4 linked regions of the Arabidopsis thaliana genome follow. The protein of the gene in region 1 purifies or fractionates together with the protein of each later gene. This does not show direct contact. Each region holds a gene or a part of one and is shown in the gene's direction. Other genes may lie near its edges.

What was found.
Region 2: the proteins of emb1507 (region 1) and AT5G28740 purify together in Arabidopsis thaliana (affinity purification with mass spectrometry; 2 studies listed by BioGRID, with this or other methods). This does not show direct contact.
Region 3: the proteins of emb1507 (region 1) and MAC3A purify together in Arabidopsis thaliana (affinity purification with mass spectrometry, with the first as the bait; one study listed by BioGRID). This does not show direct contact.
Region 4: the proteins of emb1507 (region 1) and EMB2765 purify together in Arabidopsis thaliana (affinity purification with mass spectrometry; 2 studies listed by BioGRID, with this or other methods). This does not show direct contact.

What each region holds. Positions count from the first base shown.
Region 1 is NC_003070.9:7,307,257-7,312,290, reverse strand, and holds the start of emb1507 (U5 small nuclear ribonucleoprotein helicase), read left to right. Parts: upstream 1-2,019; 5' UTR 2,020-2,205; intron 2,206-2,360; 5' UTR 2,361-2,376; coding exon 2,377-5,034. UniProt on the Arabidopsis thaliana protein: RNA helicase that plays an essential role in pre-mRNA splicing as component of the U5 snRNP and U4/U6-U5 tri-snRNP complexes. Involved in spliceosome assembly, activation and disassembly.
Region 2 is NC_003076.8:10,778,753-10,784,517, forward strand, and holds AT5G28740 (Tetratricopeptide repeat (TPR)-like superfamily protein), read left to right. Parts: upstream 1-1,750; 5' UTR 1,751-1,913; intron 1,914-2,010; 5' UTR 2,011-2,021; coding exon 2,022-3,872; intron 3,873-4,033; coding exon 4,034-4,486; intron 4,487-4,570; coding exon 4,571-5,020; 3' UTR 5,021-5,244; downstream 5,245-5,765. Other genes in the region: AT5G28730 (nuclease), read left to right, coding at 251-293, 375-736, 811-1,086, 1,257-1,466; AT5G28750 (Bacterial sec-independent translocation protein mttA/Hcf106), read right to left, coding at 5,390-5,524.
Region 3 is NC_003070.9:1,224,948-1,231,467, forward strand, and holds MAC3A (MOS4-associated complex 3A), read left to right. Parts: upstream 1-1,535; 5' UTR 1,536-1,801; coding exon 1,802-1,814; intron 1,815-1,904; coding exon 1,905-1,990; intron 1,991-2,139; coding exon 2,140-2,211; intron 2,212-2,299; coding exon 2,300-2,362; intron 2,363-2,632; coding exon 2,633-2,719; intron 2,720-2,868; coding exon 2,869-3,010; intron 3,011-3,098; coding exon 3,099-3,220; intron 3,221-3,383; coding exon 3,384-3,500; intron 3,501-3,758; coding exon 3,759-3,854; intron 3,855-3,949; coding exon 3,950-4,009; intron 4,010-4,106; coding exon 4,107-4,181; intron 4,182-4,285; coding exon 4,286-4,390; intron 4,391-4,556; coding exon 4,557-4,676; intron 4,677-4,769; coding exon 4,770-4,847; intron 4,848-4,945; coding exon 4,946-5,030; intron 5,031-5,117; coding exon 5,118-5,169; intron 5,170-5,355; coding exon 5,356-5,426; coding exon of another isoform or gene 5,427-5,432; intron 5,433-5,517; coding exon 5,518-5,645; 3' UTR 5,646-6,000; downstream 6,001-6,520.
Region 4 is NC_003071.7:16,204,425-16,212,285, reverse strand, and holds the start of EMB2765 (P-loop containing nucleoside triphosphate hydrolases superfamily protein), read left to right. Parts: upstream 1-1,857; 5' UTR 1,858-2,032; coding exon 2,033-2,449; intron 2,450-2,528; coding exon 2,529-2,618; intron 2,619-2,819; coding exon 2,820-2,882; intron 2,883-3,127; coding exon 3,128-3,214; intron 3,215-3,303; coding exon 3,304-3,456; intron 3,457-3,548; coding exon 3,549-3,685; intron 3,686-3,879; coding exon 3,880-4,114; intron 4,115-4,290; coding exon 4,291-4,401; intron 4,402-4,894; coding exon 4,895-5,953; intron 5,954-6,041; coding exon 6,042-6,299; intron 6,300-6,784; coding exon 6,785-6,970; intron 6,971-7,076; coding exon 7,077-7,861. Other genes in the region: AT2G38780 (cytochrome C oxidase subunit), read right to left, coding at 1-73, 441-775, 984-1,434.

The sequences.
Region 1 (5,034 bases):
TCCGTCTATGATACATATTTTTCTTTATATCAAGCTTTTCAAATGTATAGGTATAAGAACTCAATTTTATGATTATCGCCTCTACACGTTGTTTTTGTGCTTTTTTTTTTCTACTTTTGTATATATTTGGGTCATGCGTGAAGCGGTGAGAGTACTTTCGGTTGGTGGAATGTCACGATGAGCTTCATCTTTTGACCTTATCAATTCTAGTAGCGGTTCCTGACATGGAAATTCACGTATACATGATACGAAAACTGTTACATTTCGTCACTTTCGTCAATATTTCTACGCATATTATTCATATATGTTATCTATTTTCTTCGTATGTTTCACAAAAAACGTATTTTGGACTTTCTAGGGTTTGTTAAAATCTCTAATAGTTTATTCATAGTATATATGGAAGGAATATTGAGACAATATTACTCGAAATTTTAATTATGCATGGATATATTCAGACCAAAATGTCAATTAGCCTCCGAAATGTATAAAACAAGATAAAGGATTTATAGTGGTCAACCCATTATTGTTATAATAAAGGATTTTGTAGTTAACTATGATACATTGTAACACATTTGAATTTTGTGGCAGACTAGCGATGATTTTCTGAATGACCTTTTTCAAATCAATTGTTACTTGTAAAAATTTGTCATTAACAACCGTAAGTGATAATCGGTAGTTAAATATTCCTTCCATATATACTAATCAAATGCAGCGGTTAAATAATTGATAGGAAAAAAAACAGCATAGGCATTGTTACTTTGTGTTTACACTTTTGAATAAAAAGTATTATTAAGTAAAACAAATAAATAATAAAAAATATTATTAAATCTTGGAATAAAGTACACCAATTTTGTCATAAATAATTAACTCCGGCAAAACTTTAAAGATAATGGAGCCACACTATGTCACATGATCGATGCTCCCTCTAATCCGCAATAGGTGCTTACATGGATGTTTAAACCGAATTTAGGCGGACGAGAGTTCTTAGTTGTTTATATATACGTAATTTGTTTTGTTGTATATGTGCAGTAACAAAAATAACATCGCTTTAAAACAAAAAAAATTGAAGTGGTTTAGCATAATTTTAGATATTAATTAATCTTGGTAAACTCTTAAAAAAACAGTTTTGTTTTAGAATATTAAACAAAAATACATAATTGAATATGATGCTCTTGTTACGTGGATTTCCACACATGGCCTTTTTGGGACATTTTGATTTTCCACGTCTCAATATTTCACACGCCTACTTATGTGATGACTGATGCGTGATTAGTCAATTTTCTGTATTAAATTACTGTTTTGTTTGTTTGTCACCATTCTCTGTATTTCCTTAAAGAGTAAAAGAAAGTAAAAATTTAGTCACCGGTTGAGTTTTTTTCTTTCCAAACAAGAGTTTTAATGATGGAGTGAGTTTTTCTTGTACTTTGTCATGTTGTTATGGTAGTTGATTCTTGTTATATCGATATATAACATGAGAACTCTTTTTAATACAAAACTATAAATTATACGTGTTGCATGTTTGAAAACTATATTATCACTAAGATCAATAGATCTCTTTAGAGATTTGACAAAAATAAACAAAGACATATATATAAATTTTTTGGATATTTTTATGGACTGCCCAGTTTTCACATGATAACACATGAACCTTCGTCTCATATACATGTGCCATCTTTTACTAATCTAAGATTGCATTCAAAGTAATCAGCCTCCATGTCATTGTCACCATTTAAAGTTTTTCCCATTCCTTGTTCATTATTACACACACATTATATTTGTCAGCGATTATTAATGTTGAGGTATTAATATTTTGACAATTTTAATTCTTATAATAAACAAAAACACTTGCATTCATTCTCAAATTAACAAACGCAAAAGAAAGCATGAGACCATTGTCTTATTACGTTGGGCTTAGGAAGTATGTACAGGCCCAGCCCAATCCATGTACAGAGTCGGTTTCGTTATTGGATCCATAGTTTCAAAACGGCATCGTTAAAGTTTTCCACCTTAAGGCGGTATCGCTAGCTTATAGAAAGAATTCGCAGTCGAATAAACGAAGGAGTGTCTCCTTTAGTCATTTAGGTCGATTATTAGGAGATAGAGGACGTGAGAAGGGAGAGATCTGAGTCTCCTACTAGGGTTTCTTCTACTGGATTGATTCGTTGCAGAGAGTGAAGCTAAGAAGAGATTTTCGTAGCTGTTTCTGTAAGTTTTTTTTAATCTCCGTTTCCTCGATTTGGGTGTGGTTTTATTAGGGTTTATCATCTCTGGGAGCTTCTTCGTTTCACTTTTGGTTCGTTTCTTCGATTTGAGGTTAACATTGTGTATTTTTTTTTGTTCCTGTTTGATTTGGTTTCTAGGTTTTCGGATTGGTAGATGGCGAACTTGGGAGGCGGTGCGGAAGCACATGCCAGGTTCAAGCAGTATGAGTACAGAGCCAATTCTAGTCTGGTGTTAACTACTGATAATAGACCTCGGGATACTCATGAGCCTACAGGAGAACCGGAAACTCTGTGGGGGAAAATCGATCCGAGGTCTTTTGGTGACCGTGTTGCTAAGGGAAGGCCTCAGGAGTTGGAGGATAAGCTGAAAAAGTCTAAGAAGAAGGAACGTGATGTTGTAGATGATATGGTAAATATTAGGCAGAGTAAGAGGCGGCGTCTAAGGGAAGAGAGTGTGCTGACTGATACTGATGATGCGGTTTATCAGCCGAAGACTAAGGAGACGAGGGCTGCTTATGAAGCCATGCTTGGTCTTATCCAGAAGCAGTTGGGTGGGCAACCTCCGAGTATTGTTAGTGGTGCAGCGGATGAGATTTTGGCTGTTCTCAAGAATGACGCATTTAGAAACCCTGAGAAAAAGATGGAGATTGAGAAGTTGCTGAACAAGATTGAAAACCATGAGTTTGATCAGCTTGTTTCCATTGGAAAGTTAATCACGGACTTCCAAGAGGGTGGTGATTCTGGTGGTGGTAGAGCTAATGATGATGAAGGGCTTGATGATGATTTGGGCGTGGCTGTTGAATTTGAGGAGAATGAAGAAGATGATGAGGAAAGCGATCCTGATATGGTTGAAGAGGATGATGATGAGGAGGATGATGAGCCTACCAGAACTGGAGGCATGCAGGTTGATGCAGGGATAAATGATGAGGATGCAGGAGATGCCAATGAGGGCACAAATCTTAATGTTCAAGACATTGATGCATATTGGCTCCAGAGAAAGATCTCTCAAGCGTATGAACAGCAGATTGATCCACAACAATGCCAGGTACTCGCAGAAGAGCTACTAAAGATACTCGCTGAAGGGGATGATAGGGTTGTTGAGGACAAGCTGCTTATGCACCTTCAGTACGAAAAATTTAGCCTTGTCAAGTTTCTGCTGCGTAACCGTCTTAAAGTTGTGTGGTGCACTCGTTTGGCTAGGGCAGAAGACCAGGAAGAGAGGAATAGAATCGAGGAGGAGATGAGGGGGTTAGGCCCAGAGTTGACAGCAATTGTGGAGCAGTTGCATGCAACAAGAGCAACAGCGAAAGAGAGGGAGGAGAACCTGCAAAAAAGTATTAACGAGGAAGCCCGGCGTTTGAAGGACGAAACTGGTGGAGATGGAGGCAGAGGCAGGAGAGATGTTGCTGATAGAGATTCAGAGAGTGGGTGGGTGAAGGGTCAGCGTCAGATGCTGGACCTGGAGAGCTTGGCTTTTGACCAAGGTGGTCTTCTGATGGCGAATAAGAAGTGTGACCTCCCCCCTGGCTCTTACAGAAGTCATGGCAAGGGATATGATGAAGTTCATGTGCCTTGGGTTTCTAAAAAGGTTGATAGGAATGAGAAGCTAGTGAAGATTACGGAAATGCCTGATTGGGCGCAACCGGCTTTTAAGGGAATGCAACAGTTGAACAGGGTTCAGAGCAAAGTGTATGACACTGCGCTTTTCAAGGCAGAGAATATTCTTCTTTGTGCTCCAACTGGTGCTGGGAAAACCAATGTTGCTATGCTCACCATACTGCAGCAACTTGAAATGAATAGGAACACAGATGGAACTTATAACCATGGAGATTACAAAATTGTCTATGTTGCACCCATGAAAGCCCTTGTTGCTGAAGTTGTAGGTAATTTGTCTAATCGTCTGAAGGATTATGGAGTTATTGTGAGAGAACTCAGTGGGGATCAGTCCCTAACCGGAAGAGAAATTGAAGAGACTCAGATAATTGTTACAACACCAGAGAAATGGGATATCATCACTAGGAAGTCTGGAGACCGAACTTATACTCAGCTTGTGAGACTTCTTATAATTGATGAAATTCATCTCCTTCATGACAATCGAGGGCCTGTGCTTGAAAGCATTGTTGCTAGGACTCTTAGGCAAATTGAAACCACGAAAGAGAATATTCGTCTGGTTGGTTTATCTGCTACATTGCCAAATTATGAAGACGTGGCCTTATTTTTGCGGGTTGATCTTAAGAAAGGTTTGTTTAAATTTGACCGCAGCTACAGACCCGTGCCTCTCCATCAGCAGTATATTGGAATCAGTGTGAAGAAACCGTTGCAGAGGTTCCAGTTGATGAATGATCTTTGTTATCAGAAAGTATTGGCTGGTGCTGGAAAGCACCAGGTCCTTATTTTTGTTCATTCAAGGAAGGAAACATCAAAAACTGCTAGAGCAATAAGGGACACTGCAATGGCGAACGATACCCTCAGCAGATTCTTGAAGGAAGATAGTGTAACTCGTGACGTTCTCCATAGTCATGAAGACATTGTTAAGAATAGTGACCTAAAAGATATTCTGCCTTACGGTTTTGCAATTCATCATGCTGGGTTATCAAGGGGTGATCGTGAGATTGTTGAGACTCTTTTTTCTCAGGGGCATGTGCAAGTCTTGGTTTCCACAGCAACTCTCGCATGGGGTGTGAATCTGCCTGCACATACCGTAATTATAAAAGGAACCCAGGTGTATAATCCTGAAAAAGGGGCGTGGATGGAGCTGAGTCCTCTAGATGTTATGCAGATGCTTGGTCGTGCTGGAAGACCTCAGTATGAT
Region 2 (5,765 bases), on another chromosome or scaffold:
GTTCTGCTAATGCTCCGGAAATGATAAACTTTTTTAATAGGCCAAGTGAAAAAGATGGGAAGAAGTAGTGATTATTTGTATTAAAAAATTTTAAATAAGAATTAAGTTTTTCTCTCATGTATATTTTATATGTTCATTAAAATATTTTCATCAATGTCTAATACAAATTTACTTGAAATATCAGGAACGAATTGTCGAGTTGCGTTCATTTGGAATCGAGAATCTTGACGACGAAGAGATTGCAGAGTTAATGTTACTAGAAGAAGAAGCGAATATGGAAGAATGCATAGCTCGTATGTTGCAATATTACACGAGATGATTTTACAAACAACCTATGACATCATATGGGGGAAGAGGATGGCTAATTGTTCGAGATCAAATTTACAGTAATGAAGTTTCATGTCAGACACTTATCCGAATGAGTTCAGAGGCATTCACACAGTTATGTGAAATATTACATGGGAAGTATGGTTTACAAAGCTCGACGAACATAAGCCTCGACGAGAGTGTTGCAATCTTTCTAATCATTTGTGCCTCAAATGATACACAACGTGATATTGCATTAAGGTTTGGACATGCCCAAGAGACAATTTGGCGAAAGTTTCATGATGTGCTTAAAGCAATGGAACGATTGGCTGTAGAGTATATACGCCCAAGAAAAGTCGAAGAACTTAGAGCTATCTCTAATCGTTTGCAAGATGATACAAGATATTGGCCATTTTTAATGGATTTATTGGTGCACTTGATGGAACACATGTACCTGTTATGGTGACACCAAGGCGAGAAGGTCTTCGATTTATAAACTGAAAGGGAATTGCAAGCTTCAATGTTCTAGCTATATGCGATCTTGACATGCTTTTCACATATTGTTTTGTCGGGATGGCAGGATCTACCCATGATGCACGTGTCCTTTCGGCTGCGATAAGTGATGATCCACTATTTCATGTACCTCCAGATAGTAAGTATTATCTTGTAGATTCTGGATATGCTAATAAACGTGGATATTTAGCTCCATACCGAAGAGAACATAGAGAGGCACAAGATATCATCTCCAATAATTTTTTAACGGTGAACCTCTTCGAAACAGTAAAGAAATGTATAATAGGTGGCATGTGTCATTACGTTCTGTTATTGAACGAACGTTCGGCTTATGGAAAAAAAAATGGAGGGTCCTAAATGAATTTCCGAGATATGATATTACTACAAAAAGAAGTGTTACATTCGCTACAATGGATCTGCATAATTTTATTCGTCAGCATAATATTAAAGACTATGATTTTGACAATGTTGATTCTGAGAATAATGTTGTACAAGCTCCACATGATGCGACAGATGAGCAAGATAACAATGATGGTATTGAAATTGAAGAATCATCAGAGGCAGAAATGTATATGCGGATAGTTCGTGATCAAATTGCTGAACACATATGGTCAGTAAAAGGATATGGATCTCGACGTTGTCGATAAAATTTATATTATATTTATCATAAATTTTTTTTATATTTAATTGAATAATGGAATCTTTAAAATTGAAACACATAATAATTCTATAATTTTAATTTAATTTTTAAAATAATTTGAATTTTATTTATAAATTTAAAATAATAACCTAATTAAAACGTTTAACAATTCTTCTCGATCAGTCTTATTAACCACCAGTCAAATAAAAACAACTAATTTTCTCTTTTCTTCTCAATTCTTCTTACACTCACCAATCTCTATCAGAGAGGGTAATTTCGTAATATTATAATATAAATAAACTTATAACAACACTTACCTCAAATCAAATCACTATCGTGTCTTCTCTTTTCCCCAACCCTAAAAAAACGTTCACGCCGGAGAAACAAACCCTTCACCGTCTTCTTCGCCGTTCTTCACCATATCGCCGGCGATTAGTCCCTCACATTCTCACAGGTAAAGCTTCTCATTCTAATCAAATCCTTCTCCACTCCCTTCAGATTCGCTTAAACAAGCTCTCAAATCCCTAATCCTTTTCGTTTCTCCATTCTAGATCTAAACTATATGGCGATTTCCAAAGATCTCTATCCTTCTCAAGAGGATCTACTCTATGAGGAAGAGCTTCTTCGAAACCAATTCAGCTTAAAGCTATGGTGGAGATACCTAATCGCAAAAGCTGAATCTCCTTTTAAGAAACGCTTCATCATCTACGAGAGAGCTTTAAAAGCACTTCCTGGAAGCTATAAACTGTGGTACGCTTATCTTAGAGAACGACTCGATATCGTTAGGAATTTGCCTGTTACTCATCCACAGTACGATTCTCTCAACAATACTTTTGAGAGAGGTCTTGTTACTATGCATAAGATGCCTAGGATTTGGGTTATGTATCTTCAGACTCTTACGGTTCAGCAATTGATTACTCGGACTCGGCGAACTTTCGACCGTGCGCTTTGTGCTTTACCTGTTACTCAACATGATAGGATTTGGGAACCGTATCTTGTGTTTGTGAGTCAAAATGGGATTCCTATTGAGACTTCACTTAGGGTTTATAGAAGGTATCTTATGTATGATCCTAGTCATATTGAGGAGTTTATTGAGTTTCTTGTCAAGTCTGAGCGTTGGCAAGAATCTGCAGAGAGATTAGCTTCTGTGTTGAATGATGATAAGTTTTATTCTATTAAAGGGAAGACTAAGCATAAACTGTGGTTGGAGTTGTGTGAGCTTCTTGTGCATCATGCTAATGTGATTTCGGGTCTTAATGTTGATGCTATTATAAGAGGAGGTATTAGGAAGTTTACGGATGAAGTTGGAATGCTGTGGACTTCTCTTGCGGATTATTACATTAGGAAGAATTTGTTGGAGAAAGCTAGGGATATTTATGAGGAGGGTATGATGAAGGTAGTAACTGTAAGGGATTTTAGTGTGATATTTGACGTTTATTCACGGTTCGAGGAGAGTACGGTCGCGAAGAAGATGGAGATGATGAGTTCAAGTGATGAAGAAGATGAGAATGAAGAGAATGGCGTAGAGGATGATGAAGAGGATGTTCGCCTTAATTTTAATCTGTCGGTGAAAGAGTTGCAGAGGAAGATACTGAATGGGTTTTGGTTGAATGATGATAATGATGTTGATCTGAGATTGGCTCGTTTGGAAGAACTGATGAACAGAAGACCTGCACTGGCAAACAGTGTGCTCCTTAGGCAGAATCCTCACAATGTTGAGCAATGGCATCGTAGAGTCAAAATATTTGAGGGAAACGCAGCAAAGCAGATTCTCACATACACAGAAGCAGTGAGGACTGTTGATCCTATGAAAGCAGTTGGGAAGCCTCACACCTTGTGGGTTGCTTTTGCCAAGTTGTATGAAAACCACAAAGACCTGGTCAATACTAGAGTGATTTTTGACAAAGCAGTCCAGGTAAACTACAAAACCGTAGATCATCTCGCCAGTGTGTGGTGTGAGTGGGCTGAGATGGAGCTGAGACACAAGAATTTCAAAGGAGCATTAGAGCTGATGAGGCGTGCTACAGCTGTACCGACAGTAGAAGTCAGACGGAGAGTTGCTGCTGATGGCAATGAACCAGTCCAGATGAAGCTGCATAGATCCTTGAGGCTTTGGTCCTTTTATGTTGATCTGGAAGAAAGTCTGGGGACGTTAGAATCGACAAGAGCTGTCTATGAGAAAATATTGGATTTGAGAATAGCTACACCTCAAATTATAATGAATTATGCTTTTCTTCTTGAGGAAAATAAGTACTTTGAAGATGCGTTCAAGGTGTATGAAAGAGGTGTCAAGATATTCAAGTATCCTCATGTGAAAGACATTTGGGTAACCTATCTTACAAAGTTTGTCAAGAGATACGGGAAGACAAAGCTGGAGCGGGCAAGAGAGTTGTTTGAGCATGCTGTTTCAATGGTAAGCTCATCTGTCCTTTTACCCATACTTTTGTGCTGTCTGATTACAGATCCGATGAAACTAGCACCGAAGTTGACTAATTGGCCAGTGGCTTAGAGAACTTGTTTATTGATGTGATAATATTGAAATGTGATCTAACTTGTTTTTTGTCTCTCTTGCAGGCCCCATCTGATGCTGTCAGGACGTTATACCTTCAGTATGCTAAGCTAGAAGAGGATTATGGTCTGGCTAAACGAGCCATGAAGGTTTATGAGGAAGCCACCAAAAAAGTTCCAGAAGGTCAGAAGCTTGAGATGTACGAGATATACATTTCCCGAGCAGCGGAGATATTTGGTGTTCCCAGAACAAGGGAAATATATGAACAAGCAATTGAATCTGGGCTTCCACATAAGGATGTGAAGATCATGTGCATAAAATTTGCTGAGCTGGAGAGAAGCTTGGGAGAGATTGATCGTGCTCGTGCACTCTATAAGTATTCCTCCCAGTTTGCAGATCCAAGGTCCGACCCTGAATTCTGGAACAAATGGCATGAGTTCGAGGTCCAGCACGGGAACGAAGATACCTACAGAGAAATGCTCCGTATCAAGCGAAGTGTTTCCGCAAGCTATAGTCAGGTCTGCATCAGTTTCTCTTCTTTCAATTTTTTGTCATTTGTTTTTGGAGTCGAAATCTGACTATATTGATCTTTTTTGTTTCAGACTCATTTCATTCTACCAGAGAACATGATGCAAAAGGACAAGCTGCTTGATGTGGAAGACGCAAAAGGCGAGCTGAAGAGAGCCGGTTTACCTGAAGACGAAATGGCGGCTCTGGAGAGGCAGCTTTTGTCTACAACTACCCCCACAGAGCCAGCAAAAGATGGCGGGAGAAGAGTTGGGTTTGTAAGCGCAGGAGTCATCTCACAGTCCGGTGAGAATGAGGGGAAACCAGTGACAGGGAATGGAGAAGACATCGAGCTTCCCGATGAAAGTGATGATGAGTCTGATGGAGATGACCATGTGGAGATCTCTCAGAAAGAAGTCCCTGCCGCTGTTTTTGGAGGACTTGCTAGAAAGAGAGACGAAGACGGCGAAGAAGCTGGAGAAGACGGTGCTGCCCAGAAATTGGGTGCACTTGAGAGGATCAAGAGACAGAAGCTTAATCAGTGAACAAGCGAGTCGTAGACAATTAGTCTTGTGCTTAGTGATTCTGGAACCAAACTTCATTGTAATACCCAGAAACGTGAAACTTAGAGAAAAATTTTGTATTCTGTTTTGTTTTATAATTCGACACTTTGTTTACATAAGAGTTCTCTGTATTTCTTTGGTCTTTGGTCTTAACTAGAGTTAATTTGTTTGTGCAAGTTCTTTGCTTCTTCTACTCGAAAGAGCCTTCTAGATTCATCAAACACAAATTAATTTATACTTTTCATTGGAAGGCTATTTTGTTTCCTCCAGACAATAATATTTGATCTAAACTCTTCATGACATAAAATTGTTGTAGCTACAAGGAAAAGCAAACACTGAAGTCTCTCATCTTCATACATTCTCCTTTGAGCTTGAAGAAACCTCAGTTTTTTTCTCCTCTTCTTTGTTACTCGTTGCTACCTGAGATGATTCTGCAACAGACTCTTCGGGTTCTGTCTTAAGCTCAGACTCGAACTCTTTTGCAGCCTGCGTTATACCAAACCATACAAAGCTTCATCAATACAAGTAAAACGATAATAGGAACACAGAAAAACATACAACAAACAGACAACCATGAGAGCCATAACAATAACCAGAAGTTTTCTCGGAGCTAATATCACTCCAATAATAAAATCACGAGCTACCTCTGTGATCGGTTTTTGAATAGAGATTGCATTGCCAGATTAACCTAACATAACAACATGCTTGGTCTATACTATATAGCAAA
Region 3 (6,520 bases), 6.1 Mb from region 1:
TTTTGAAAATAAGAGATAAAGATCGTACTAAGTCAAATGTATTTATTTTATGGAAATTTCGAGGGGAAAAAAAATGTTACGTGATGCTTAGTTAAATTCGGAAACTACAAATTTCATATCAAGATGGTTTCTCTCGATAAAAATTCGTTACAGTGATAGTTTTAGCATACCATGCTTCGAGTTGTCGTTTTCTATATATGTTGTTTTCCTTACAACCATAACCAAATAATGAACTGATCATACAAATGAAAAGATACTTTTATAGATCGGAATATATATCGACTTAGATAACGTAAATAAAGGTACACCAATGTGATTTATAGATTATATAGTCATCAACACCATATATGAAACTTTAACAAAAAAACACCATATATGAAACTACAATTTTTTACGAACATGGTCTTACCTTTATTTTATCTTTTTTTTTCGTATAAAGAATTCCCAAACTATGAAAAAATGTCAGCTAGGTGAATAATCTAACTTTCATGGACTATTACTCAGCTAAGTTCAAAATATCCCTTCACTTCAAAACTTCTAAAAACAACTTTCATTGACTATACGCATTAATTAATTACTATTGTAATTACGACGATTTTTTTTTCGTTCTCCTCTAGCTTTTTTTAGTTTATTTGTTTTGGTCATGGTTGGGAACGGGACATCATCACATCACTTATCAACATTCTATTTGGTCCCCAACTCTATGAAGCATTATTTGAAATCATTAGCATGACTATCTAAGTTTTTTTTCTCCTGATATTTATCCAAAATTTTATTTCATTCAAATTGTTTAACAATATGTACATATACTATATGTATTATATAAAATACATATCACCACTCAGGCAATTTTTTAAACTTATATACAGTATGTGATAAAATAAACATGGTCATACGTTTAAGAATTGGAAATTAATGAGGTTGCAAGAAATCATTTAACGAGAACAGAATGAAGAGAAAGAAAAAAATAGCAACTTGGTGGCAAAAGGAAAAAGAAACAGCTTGAGATCAAAGCTGATTTGATGAATCGATACTTTGGAGATATATATGAGCATCTTCGGCAAAAGCTTTGGCCTTTGAGTGCAGTGTTACACACACGCATTTTCCAAACGAGATGATTTAAGTTTTGCAGAGCTATCACAAATATATTATAATACCAAACTCTCAGACAATATTATATAAATCGGAAGTCTAATTTTTTTTAATAAAAAATGAAAATATAGTATGACCAATGATTTGTTCATATAAGGTTCTTTTTTCGGCTATGTTAATTGTTGAGAAATGAGAATACTAAATATGCTTTTTATGAGAATACTACTTTTCGGCTATGACTAATTTTTGTTCATAAAGAACACATCTATCGTACGTGCAAATAGAATGGCCCGTACATCGTTGTCCTACCTTATACTTTAAAAGAATTTGTAATCAGAAAAAATAAAAGAAAAGAATGACAAAAAAAAGGGTAAGAATTATACTTTCGAGTTTCTTTTCTCAGACAGAAAGAATGAACGAACATACATAGTTTAACTAATGGGCTTCAGAAAAAAGCCTAATTAGTTATAAATCAAGGTCTCGTTAAAAGGCCCATTTGTTTAACAAGAAATCTCTAACTTGTTGTCCTAAGCTTAAACAATTTTTGCATCTCTCTCTCTTTCCGTCTTCATCGTCCTCCCGGCTTCTGCGATTTTGTTTAGTAGCGCCGGACCGGAGTAGTTAAAACCCTAGCCCAGTCTATTTAAAGATTCACCGAGTAGTCTTCTAGTCCTGCGTATACTTCTTCTTCTTCGTTTATACTTAGAAGATGAATTGTGCAAGTAAGGCACTCTTTCTTCTCTATTTACCGATTTAGGGTTTTATTTTGCTTTGTTTCTGTCGGTAACACTGTGGTCTTTTCTCCTCTACAGTTTCCGGCGAAGTTCCGGAGGAGCCTGTGGTTTCTAAGAAGTCGGGTTTGCTTTACGAGAAGCGGCTAATCCAGACGCATATATCCGTAAGCAAGTTCTTTTCTTTTCTCCCTCGTTCGACTCTTATCTAGGGTTTTCAGCTGTTTAGCCTCTTGCACCTCTCTATTTGCTGCAGATATTTTCTTAATACAGACTTTGTTGTGATAATTTATAGATTGCTTTTGGTACCTTGTAGGATTATGGGAAATGCCCGGTTACTGGTGAGCCACATACTCTTGATGACATTGTTCCCATCAAAACTGGGAAGGTAATGCAACCACTGGAGTTATTTGTCACACAGCATTGTTTGTAGAAACTTATTTAAGCCTGATTCGATCTCCGGGACCATTTTGCAGATCGTAAAGCCGAAACCATTACACACAGCTAGCATCCCTGGATTGCTTGGAACGTTTCAGACTGTAAGTTCTTATTTTGTATTCCCTATACCTTCTTTTTCGTTTCTGAATTTTGTTCTCTGTCTATTAAGGATCATATAGAGTTAAAATGGATGAACTTGATTTGGGTATGCATCGCTATCTGAGTTATTTAACATAGCAGATTGCATTCTACTCTTTACATTGAATTATATGTTCATTTGTTACTAATAGCAAGACGAAAGTGTTCGCTGGTTATTTTTACTTTAGGCAAAAGAAATGCTTAAAAAGTTTATCTGTTTGTTGTGCTTGTAGGAATGGGACAGTTTGATGCTATCAAATTTTGCTTTGGAACAACAACTGCATACTGCGAGGCAAGAGCTAAGTCACGCTTTGTATCAGGTAATTATGGTTAGGTGCATTTGCCACCACCTTATCAGACTACATGAATTACAAATATCTATTATGTATTCTAGTTTCTTTTCCTGGATGTTTCCATTTATTTCTTGTGATAAAAGGTGATTGATGGGGGATACACTTTTCCTTTGCAGCATGATGCTGCTTGTCGTGTGATTGCTAGGCTTAAAAAAGAAAGAGACGAATCACGACAATTGCTTGCAGAGGCTGAAAGGCAGTTGCCTGCAGCCCCCGAAGTTGCCACATCGAATGCTGCTCTTAGTAATGGTAAACGAGGTATGCTTGCACGTTTGCTTCTCAATGTAAGTTGGCTATGTGGTAATTTCTCTTATAACAAGCTACTATGTTTTTGGTTGCAATATAGGTATCGATGATGGTGAGCAGGGGCCTAATGCAAAGAAAATGCGTCTTGGAATTTCGGCTGAAGTTATCACAGAACTCACAGATTGTAATGCTGCTCTTTCTCAGCAGCGTAAAAAGAGACAGGTAACTGCATATATCAGTATATTAGTGGAAATAGAAGGCAAAAGAGAATTACATATATATATAGTTTGTCTGTAACATACAATGGATATCTGCACTTTTGGAGTTCAATTAGATTTGCGAGTGGTTCTTCTGTCTTAATAATTTCTCCTCATTGGTTCTCTAGATCCCTAAAACATTGGCTTCAGTCGATGCTCTGGAGAAGTTCACCCAACTCTCAAGCCACCCCCTTCACAAGACCAACAAACCTGGAATTTTTTCAATGGACATCCTACATTCTAAGGTTTGACACCTAAGAACTTCTCTATTTTCCATTCATCACTTTATGTAGTTTTTCTCTGTCCTGAGAAGTCACTGCATTGAACGTCATAGTGACATGTTTACTTTTGCGCTTACATTATATTGTACACTGCCATGAATCCCCATCTGGATGCTTATCAATATTATTCTTCAGTATATAGATTTTGTACACTACCATGAATCCCTGTGTCTGTTCTCTATTTAGTATTATTCTTAATTTCTCGTTATATGTGGTAATCAGGATGTCATCGCTACGGGAGGAATTGATACAACTGCCGTTCTCTTTGATCGTCCTTCAGGACAAATCTTATCAACGCTGACTGGTCACTCAAAGAAGGTCTGTCTTTTACTGTATTCTTTTTTTATATTTCATTTTCTTTTTTAACTTTTCCTTTGTAGTTTTGTGCTTGACATGCATTGTTCCTTTTGCAGGTTACAAGCATCAAGTTCGTTGGTGACACTGATCTTGTGTTAACTGCTTCATCCGACAAGGTAAGCTAAGGTTATGTGTACAAGCTCCTTTGAGGATTGCATGATTTTATGGAGTAGTAGTGAAGAGATTAACTTCTCATTTCTTAACACTCTGCAGACAGTCCGCATCTGGGGATGTTCCGAGGATGGGAACTATACCTCTAGACATACACTGAAAGATCATTCTGCCGAGGTAAGGATGTAACTGAAGAACTTCTACAGGCTACAGTCTCATACAGTTTTACGTTTTATTTATTTTTGGTCTGTTTAACGTAAAAGCAATGATGTGGTTTTCAGGTGCGAGCTGTAACTGTCCACGCAACGAATAAATACTTTGTGTCAGCATCACTTGACAGTACATGGTGCTTCTATGATCTGTCCTCCGGTTTATGCCTTGCTCAGGTCTCCAAAATTTTAATCCACACCTGATACCTGTTATCCAGTTTCAGATTTCTTCTTTTATGCTAATATAACAATGAAACATTTACCTTCTTTATTGTAATGTGAATTAGACTCGTTAGAATAAATGTTTCTGCCATGCGTCTTTCTCATTATTGTTGTTATTCAGGTGACAGATGCTTCCGAAAACGACGTGAATTACACGGCTGCTGCTTTTCATCCTGATGGTCTCATTCTTGGAACTGGTACCGCTCAATCTATTGTTAAGATTTGGGATGTAAAAAGTCAGGTAAAAACTCTTTGACCTTCCTTGCTCATCAACTGTTGTCACTTGTAAGTTTGTTCTCACTTCACTCTCATCTCTATCTCTGTCGTTTGATAGGCAAATGTGGCAAAGTTTGGTGGACACAATGGAGAAATCACCTCTATATCATTCTCTGAAAACGGTTATTTCCTTGCGGTGGGTACATTGACTGATTGACCTAAACTAAGTAGAAAGAAGGATAGCACCAGGTTCCTTTTGACTGACCAATATTTACTATTCTTTAAATTGTACAGACTGCTGCACTGGATGGTGTTAGGTTGTGGGACTTGCGCAAGTTAAAGAACTTCCGAACCTTTGACTTTCCAGATGCAAACTCGGGTATTCAACTACCTGAGCACTCTTACTAGTCTATTTTGTTGAGTGAGTTTTCATTTCTTAAGGCCTGAATGAGCTTTTTTTGTGCAGTGGAGTTTGACCATAGCGGATCTTATCTTGGCATTGCTGCTTCAGATATAAGGTGAGGTCTACTTTGATACACAATGTTGGGAATTAATTGATATAGGAGCTCACTTTGATAACGAGATATTGAAAGATAGTTGTGCAAACTCAATTAACCTGCTATCACCAGAAATGCAGTTTGGGTATATGTATACGTTTCTTCTGCAAATCATACTAATCGAAAACTTGTGCTTCAATGTTGTAGAGTATTCCAAGCAGCTAGTGTAAAAGCAGAATGGAACCCAATCAAGACTCTTCCCGATCTGTCCGGTACAGGTAAATGCTACATGTTAAGCTTTTGAAGTCACTGCTCTTCCTTGTTTTATTGAGTCTATCATTCAGACATTGTAACTACATAAATGTGCAGGTAAAGCAACAAGTGTTAAGTTTGGACTCGACTCCAAATACATAGCAGTCGGTTCAATGGACCGTAATCTCAGGATATTTGGTTTACCTGATGATGACAATACTGAAGATTCAGCACAAGATTCATGAAGAGATATCTCAAAAGTCTCATCATCAAGAGTAGCTATATCCTCAATTCTCGCGATTTTTGTTGTATCTTTACAGTTCTGTTGGTACTTTCCTGATGGCCCCTCTCACAATCACATATACACACCTGAGCTCTCTCCCTTTCTTTCTCAGTCAACAATTTTCCTGTAACAACATCGTACCTTAAGGATCTGCAGTTGATCTTTCTCTCTTTGATCTGAAAGAGTCCACATAAAACAAAGTTAGCTGCTCACTATAAAAGCAAATGAAGAACAGGCATGTAAATGATCTTCTTCATCATTCAAATCAGTAGGACCTAAACGGCAACAATTAAAAAACTTGTGTTATATAGAAAGGGTCATGAATCTTGAAGACAATGAAATGAAGACAAAAAGATTGTGATGGTGGTCATAGAAATTAGAAAACCCTGAGACAGACAGAGATTTTGACTGTACTGTGGTCAAAACACACACTTCACAATCTTCCCATTCCCCCACCAATCTCAGATTCCTTTTCACTTCCTCCAACTCTTTCTCTCTCTCTGGCCTTTTTTTTTTTTTTTTTTCCTATTTATAGCTCATCTTTAGTAATTCCGTTATTGGTTAAATTTCCTAAACATGTTTTTGGTATCAACAATCAAGTAAGTGCAAGAAAGTTTGTATCTTTCTCTAAACCCAATTTCCAAAGTAACCAACTACTAAACCAGAATGTTACACAAAGTAAGTCACTAAATGACTTTAAAAACAAGATTAGACTTTAAACTAGATTAGAGACATACTTATTTGGAATAAGATTCAAAGGTCACTAGTAGCTAGTAGGTGGTAAAAAGGAAGCTAAACAACAAATAAACTCTTATTAAAATCTTTCAATCAATAAAT
Region 4 (7,861 bases), on another chromosome or scaffold:
TTTCTTCTCTCACAATCCTCTCTTCAGCGGTCTCAACTGAATCCCCCGGTCGGAGTGTCCTTCCACCACCAAACTTAAACAAGAAAAGTATATATCTCAATCCTCATTACTTGAGACCATAGATGCCAGCAGGAAAATATACACTCCAAAACCATCGAAGTTAAGAGCTGATGGTTATAGCCAACAATCCAAAATGTGGAAAATACAACCAACAAATCATTTTTGATGCATCATATTTCACAGTAGACTAAATGGTATGCGAACTAAATAATAAACCCATGAAACCTTTCTGGCACTCCTACCTCTAATAATCTGGAGTAAGTGGCTCTATATACCCTAACTTAACAACATTGGACATGCAACTTCTTCCCTCTTGGGGGTTTATGAAAAAAACTAATCCAGTTGCATAACACATATCTTTAGATGGGCCAGTCACATACCGTCTTAGAGATGTTGCTAGGTCTTGGGAAAACTCCCCATGTAGAAACTTTGGGTTTATACACATCAGAGTTTCCATCTCCTTCTTGCTCAACCTCCTTTACTTTCTCCGCAAATCTTGTTTTATCACCAACAATAAACTCCACCTCAGGTAAGTCTCCTTCAGGAAGATAGTCAACAACAGGAACAAGTCCCGCTGGAAGCCCCCTCGTGCTCTTCTTATCAGCAAAGCCAAGCCCCATGAAATCAATGCTGGAGACTTTCAATTCTTTCTTCTTAACATCATTATCTTCAACAACCTTATTTGCTAATCTAACGAAACTTTGATCTGTATTACCTGAAACCCATGAGAACAATTCTCCATTAATACAGCTAAAAATCAAGGCTTTACTCCTAAATCTAATCAAAAACCAATCTTTTCAAGGAACAGGCCACGAAAAACACATGAATGATGTACTAAAGACTATTAGAAAAGTGCATTGATCTACAAACTCAAGCAAAGACAGTTACAAGAATTTTGTGCAAAAGATGATTTTTTACTGAACTGGGTTTAGCTTTTGCGACAGCATCAGTTCCAAGTCCTTTCCTTTTCTTATAATCATTGGCTTTTTGCATAGCAGCCTTAACAGAGAGCGGCAATTCCTCGTCGCCGGCATTTTTCTCTGGTTTTTTTTGCTCTGATTTCGATTTCTTATAAGCTTCGGCTTTCTTCAATGCGAGCTTCACCGGATCCACATCGAGCTCAACCTCTGACGAGCGGTCCGGTGAGGACGAGTTGCTCCGAGTTCGGAAAAGTGAGAGTTTCAAGGATTTTGGGTGTTGAGATGGAGAAAAAAAGAAAGCGGGAGTTTCGGTGAGTGGAGAAGAGAGCCAAGAGTGGTTGAAAGAAGCCATGGTTTGGTGGAGAGAAGAGCTGGTTAGCCATTTTTGGAGTGCAATGTTTTCACAGACTTGTGGACTCGTGGATGCAACATCACCACCCATCCATTTCATCATTGGTCTTGGTCACTAGAGCGCATAAACAGTTCGTTTTATTCGGTTTATATTCGGTTTAGATTGATCAATTATGATTCGAATTCGTTTATTTTGGCTCAGTTCAATTTTTTTTTATGCACACTCATATTTAAGTTGTTTTATTTTAAATCAAAATACTAATTTAAAAGAATGTAAAGTTTTATGTTATCCGATTGCATAAATTTGGTTTTAGTTTGGTTTATTTGGTACAAATTACTGTTTAATGTTTTTTAATCATAAGAAATTCAGTTTTGGTTCGATTCGGTTTACTTGGCTTTTGCTCACCATTATTTATTTATATTAATTTTACTCTTAAGATTATTTCTAGTTCCAGTCCAGACTAAAATACTTCTAGCCCAATATCGGCCCAAGTCCAGCTGTAATTAAACTAGCATCACTCGGGTCGGGTCGAGTCGGTCGTAACCGCCTTTTATCTTTGACGTCGTCGATGAAACTCTCACCTCCGCTTAAGCCCTAAAAATCTTACTCTTCTTCACTCTAAATCCCTTCTCTGAACCTCTTCGTTTGCTGTATGTGTTGATTTCACTTCTCTCTGAGCAAGAAGCTTTCGCGTGAGAGAATGACGAAGGTCTATGGAACTGGCACGTACGACTTCAAGCGCCACAGAGTGGCGGAGTATCCATTGGAGTTACCTAGCCATCCTGCTGAGAAGCCTCTAGAGTCAAAGCCTGGATCTAATTTGCCGAGCTCCATCACTTTATCGGAGATTCAGCAAGATAGGTTAACGAAAATCGCTGAGGAGAGCTGGATTAAGACTGGAGGTAAGCTCCCTGAGAAACCGTTCGATCCGGAGGTTGTGAAGGAGATTTATGTGACGGAGCTTAAGGTAACTAGTGGTCGTAAACCTGTTCCACTTCAGCGAGTTATGATTCTGGAAGTGAGTCAGTATTTGGAGAACTATCTATGGCCGAATTTTGATCCTGAGACTGCTACGTTCGAGCATGTTATGTCTATGATTCTTATGATTAACGAGAAGGTAACTAATCTTGCTCTCTTTCGTATTGGACTGTTGGAGCTGTAAACAGTGGAGTTTAACATTGCTACATGCTTTGTAGTTCCGGGAGAATGTGGCAGCTTGGATTTGCTTTCATGATCGGGATGATCTATTCAAAAAGTTTCTACAGAAGGTTCTTCGCCTTAAAGAGGTTTGTATTCTACCTGTTGTTTTAGTTTTTGTGATTCTAGTGTTGTTCCTGTTTGTGATAATTTGGTTTGTACCTGTGATTTATAACATTGTCTTATGCCTGGAATTGACTTCGCTATATATTTGGAGGCATAGTGATAAATCATAATTAGCCATTGCTAAACCAATCGTATATTTATATATCATTTGCTTACCATTGTAGGGAAGAGACTTGACTATTGCTGAGAAGACAAACTATTTGGTCTTCATGATTAATGCTTTCCAGGTTTGTTCCGTTTCTTGCATGTAACTTTTGAATAGGTCGTAAGTATTTAGAATGCTGTTGCGCCTGTTTCAGATCAGAAAATTAATACATGATATAGTAAGCAGTAATTGCAGACAATATAGCTGTGTGCTACTCAGTAAATTGTTTGTTTCACGTGGAAAACCTTATTATTCATGTTTGTACACAAATTATATCCTTGTGCTATTTTGTTTTTCTTCAATATTCTTAACTGTGTGATGTTACAGAGTTTGGAAGACGCAGTGGTTAATGAGATTGTTCTAAGTCTAGCAGGATTACAATCTTGGCACAGCTTGTCTTATGGACGTTTCCAGGTGGGTGTTTCCTTCACATGGATTTTGTTAAGGATGGTGAAAATATTTTGTAGTTGCTCTGATATCGTCATTGATTTTTACAACTGTAGATGGAGCTCTGCCTTCAACCTGATCTAATTAAAAAGTGGAAGAGGTCATCAAAGAAATGGGCAGCTGAGGCAAAGTCAAAGGGAGAGAAATTTGATTTATCCTCATCCCCTGAAGCAAATTTTGTTCGAGGCCTAATAGAAGAATTCGTTGAGGTATATAGCCTGTTTTTATTGGGTTGTAGTGGTCTATGTTCGTCAAATATATCTTTCGCATAGTTACGCATAATTCATAACATTCTGTTCAGGTGCTTGATCATGGGGTTTTTGCGGATGAGGTTGATGATACTGCTGGATCTCAATTGGTCGATGATTCTTCTGTCTTATATTGTGAGAGATTCATGGAATTTCTTATTGACATGCTGAACCAACTTCCAACAAGAAGGTATTAATATTTCCCTCCAGGGCCTCTATGCAAGTTTTTTGTAGACTAAAATATCTAGGGTTTTTTTTTGTTCCTAATAATATCTAGGTCTTAGTCTTGTTACGCTTCCTCATTCTACACTGTCCATTTCTGAGCCATTCATTTACTGGACCTTAATTTTTCCTTTCTCCATCTCTTCATCTTGATTATTACAGATACCTAAGACCTCTTGTGGCGGATATAGCAGTTGTTGCCAAATGTCGACTGAGTGCCCTATACAAACATGAAAAAGGGAAGCTTTTCGCCCAACTAGTTGACTTGTTACAGTTCTACGAAAAGTTTGAGATAAAGGATCATGATGGAACACAATTAACTGATGATGAAGCACTTCAATTTCATTACGATCGTTTTATGGCGTTTCAGCTACTTGCCTTTAAGAAAATACCTAAGGTATTGTCCTGGTAATCATGGTTAATTAATAGATAGGTAGTTTTGTGTACTAGGTATTTTTGTTATGTTACTATTGGATTTTGAAGTCATTGATCTACTCTCTTCCTTATTTTCTAATATTTTTTGGCAAACGCTTCTCTAGATTCTCACATTTGTTTTTATCTGGTTTGCTTCAGTTGCAAGATCTGTCTTTGGCTAACATTGGTTCGATTCACAAGAGTTCTGATCTTCGGAGGAGATTGTCTGTGCTTTCTCTTGAAGATTTAAGGGATGTTGTCTGCTCAAAGGTATATATCTGGAAAGCATATTCTTGTAGGTTCACAAACTCTGCATGGGAATTCAGGATATGATTATGGAATATTGCTGAGGCAATTCTATGATGATCATATCTTTTCTGCCAGTTTCATTATGCTAAGGCTCTTATAGTTGTGAGCTTTCAGTGAATATTATTGGCAAAATGCTTAGCAAAATCAGAATACAAAGTCTAAGTTGACATGCTAAAAGATCTATGGGTTGACACAAATGTAGACGTTATGTATCTACTTGTTTGAATTCCCTTTAGGCCATTACAGTAGTACGCAGAGTAGTGTGAGAAATCAGTGAAGAGATGTATTTGTGCCTGTGGAGAGTAGAAAGGAGATATGTAAACTGTATTTGCCTCTTGCTGTTGCTAATTTTAGTTTTCGTTAAAATATACTTTTGTTGCCTTAGAAGTTCACGTACAACAATTATACACCTTGCCACCTACATTGGTTCTCATTTTCATTTGCTTTTGTGCAGCTCAAACTGGTTTCAAGACATGATCCTTGGGCAGATAGTAAAGATTTTCTGACTGAAGTCGTTGTCTCCTCTTTTGAGAAGCAACAGTCTCAGAAAGAAGCAATAAACGCTCTGCCTTTGTACCCAAATGAGCAAATCATGTGGGACGAAAGTGTTATTCCAAGCATTAATTATTCTGGGGAAGGTTGCCTTGCTCTTCCAAAGCTTAATCTTCAGTTTCTAACACTCCATGATTATCTCCTTAGAAACTTCAACCTCTTCCGTCTAGAATCCACCTATGAGATTCGTGAAGATATACAAGAAGCTGTACCACATCTTCTTGCACATATAAATAACGAGGGAGACACTGCTTTTCGTGGTTGGTCACGAATGGCGGTTCCTATTAATGATTTCAAAATCGCTCAGGTGAAACAGCCTAATATTGGAGAAGAGAAGCCTTCATCTGTGACAGCAGAAGTTACTTTCAGTATCAAGAGTTACAGAACGCAGATAAGATCTGAATGGAATTCCCTTAAAGAGCATGACGTGTTGTTTTTGCTTTGTATACGCCCTTCATTTGAGCCATTAGGTCCTGAGGAAGCTGATAAAGCTACAGTTCCACAGAGGCTCGGGCTTCAGTATGTTCGTGGTTGTGAAATCATCGATATCCGCGATGAGGAGGGTAATCTGATGAATGATTTTACTGGAAGAGTTAAACGGGATGAATGGAAGCCCCCAAAAGGTGAAATGAGGACTGTGACTGTCGCTTTAGATGCTGCACAGTATCATATAGATGTTACAGACATCGCTGAAAAAGGTGCTGAGGATGTGTATGGCACATTTAATGTGCTAATGAGGAGGAAACCAAAAGAGAACAACTTCAAGGCTATTCTGGAATCTATCAGAGATCTTATGAACGAATATTGTATTGTGCCGGAGTGGTTGCATAATGTTTTTCTTGGGTATGGCAACCCTTCTGCTGCACAGTGGCCTAATATGCCAAACCTGTTGGAAATAGTGGACTTCAAAGACACTTTCCTTAATGCAAATCATCTCAGTGAAAGTTTTTCAGATTATGAGGTTAGTACCTATATTCTTTTGTATATGATGTGATCTAGAAGACTAGAACTAGTTCCTTTCCATGTCTCTAATAATTTGTGCATATTAGGTTTCTTTCATCAATGCTGAAGGTGCTGAAGCTCTGGATCCAAGTCCTCCGTTTCGAATCACTCTTCCAAAGACACTAAAAGGAAATGGTGCTATTTCTGGAAACAAGATATCTGAAGTGAATCCAGCAGATAATGTTAATATGGTGGATGCTTCCCCGAAGGAGAAACTTATTGTTGAGGCATATACCCCACCTGACCCAGGGCCTTATCCTCAGGACCAGCCGAAGCAGAACTCAGTTAAATTTACACCTACACAGGTACTACTTATTTCTACATCCTAAGTGCAGTATGCTGATTTGGTTTTTATATAATTGTGCTGTGCTATACTTGTCAACTTTTCGTCATTCTTGCTATTTGTTTTGGAAGATGACAAATTTATTATCTTAGAATCCTTCCTACTTTTACAGAAGAGTTATGTCATACGAGAATACTATTCATCATCTTTATGTCGCCTTATTGTGTTGGGTACCTGACACTTATAACCCATGTAAAATTTTGCACCTGTTATTTCCATCGTAACGTAAATCATTTGGTCATTGATCGATTTGAGTGGTCAATACTGTTCCCACATCATTCTGTTTTATTTGAAGAAAGTTTTACCTAATGTTCAAATCACTTTCTCCCTCATGGTGGTTTGGATGAGAATGAGAAAATATACCAAAACATTTGGTATGGATTCAAAATATGGATCATTGTTGCAAGTTGTAACTAAACCATGTCCATGCCTACTATTTTCCTGCAGGTTGGAGCAATTATCTCTGGTATTCAGCCTGGGCTAACTATGGTGGTTGGTCCACCAGGTACCGGAAAGACTGATACAGCAGTGCAAATTTTGAATGTTCTATACCACAACTGTCCTTCTCAGAGGACATTGATAATCACTCATTCAAATCAGGCTTTGAATGATCTTTTTGAGAAGATAATGGAGGTACTATTGGCATCTTCGTTGCTTTTGTTATTTATATGGAGTCATATTTAATGTTTTATGTTTGACGGAGTTCTGAGAGTCAAATGCTACATGGATCTTTTTTCAGAGGGATGTACCAGCGCGGTATCTACTTCGTTTGGGTCAAGGTGAACAAGAGCTTGCCACTGATCTTGACTTTAGCAGACAAGGCCGTGTCAATGCCATGCTTGTTCGGCGTCTGGAACTCCTCAGTGAGGTTGAGAGACTAGCAAGATCTCTTCAGCTTCCAGAGGATGTAGGATATACTTGTGAAACAGCTGGATATTTCTGGTTGCTTCATGTATACTCGCGTTGGGAGCTGTTTCTCGCAGCTTGTGCAGGAAATGAAGACAATCAATCTTTTGTGCGAGATCGCTTCCCGTTCAAAGATTTCTTCTCAGACACCCCTAAACCTGTTTTTAATGGGGAGTCATTTGAGAAAGACATGAGGGCAGCTAAAGGTTGTTTCTCTCATCTCAAGACTGTGTTCCAAGAGCTAGAAGAGTGTAGGGCCTTTGAACTACTCAAGTCAACTGCTGATAGAGCAAATTATCTGATGACCAAACAAGCAAAGATTGTAGCAATGACGTGTACTCATGCTGCATTAAAGAGGAGAGATTTTCTTCAGTTAGGGTTCAAATATGATAACTTATTGATGGAAGAAAGTGCTCAGATTTTGGAAATTGAGACTTTCATACCAATGCTGCTTCAGAGGCAAGAAGATGGTCATGCACGACTCAAGCGCTGTATATTGATTGGTGATCACCACCAGCTGCCTCCCGTGGTGAAGAATATGGCTTTCCAGAAATATAGTCACATGGATCAGAGTTTGTTTACGAGGTTTGTTCGTCTTGGTATTCCTTATATTGAGCT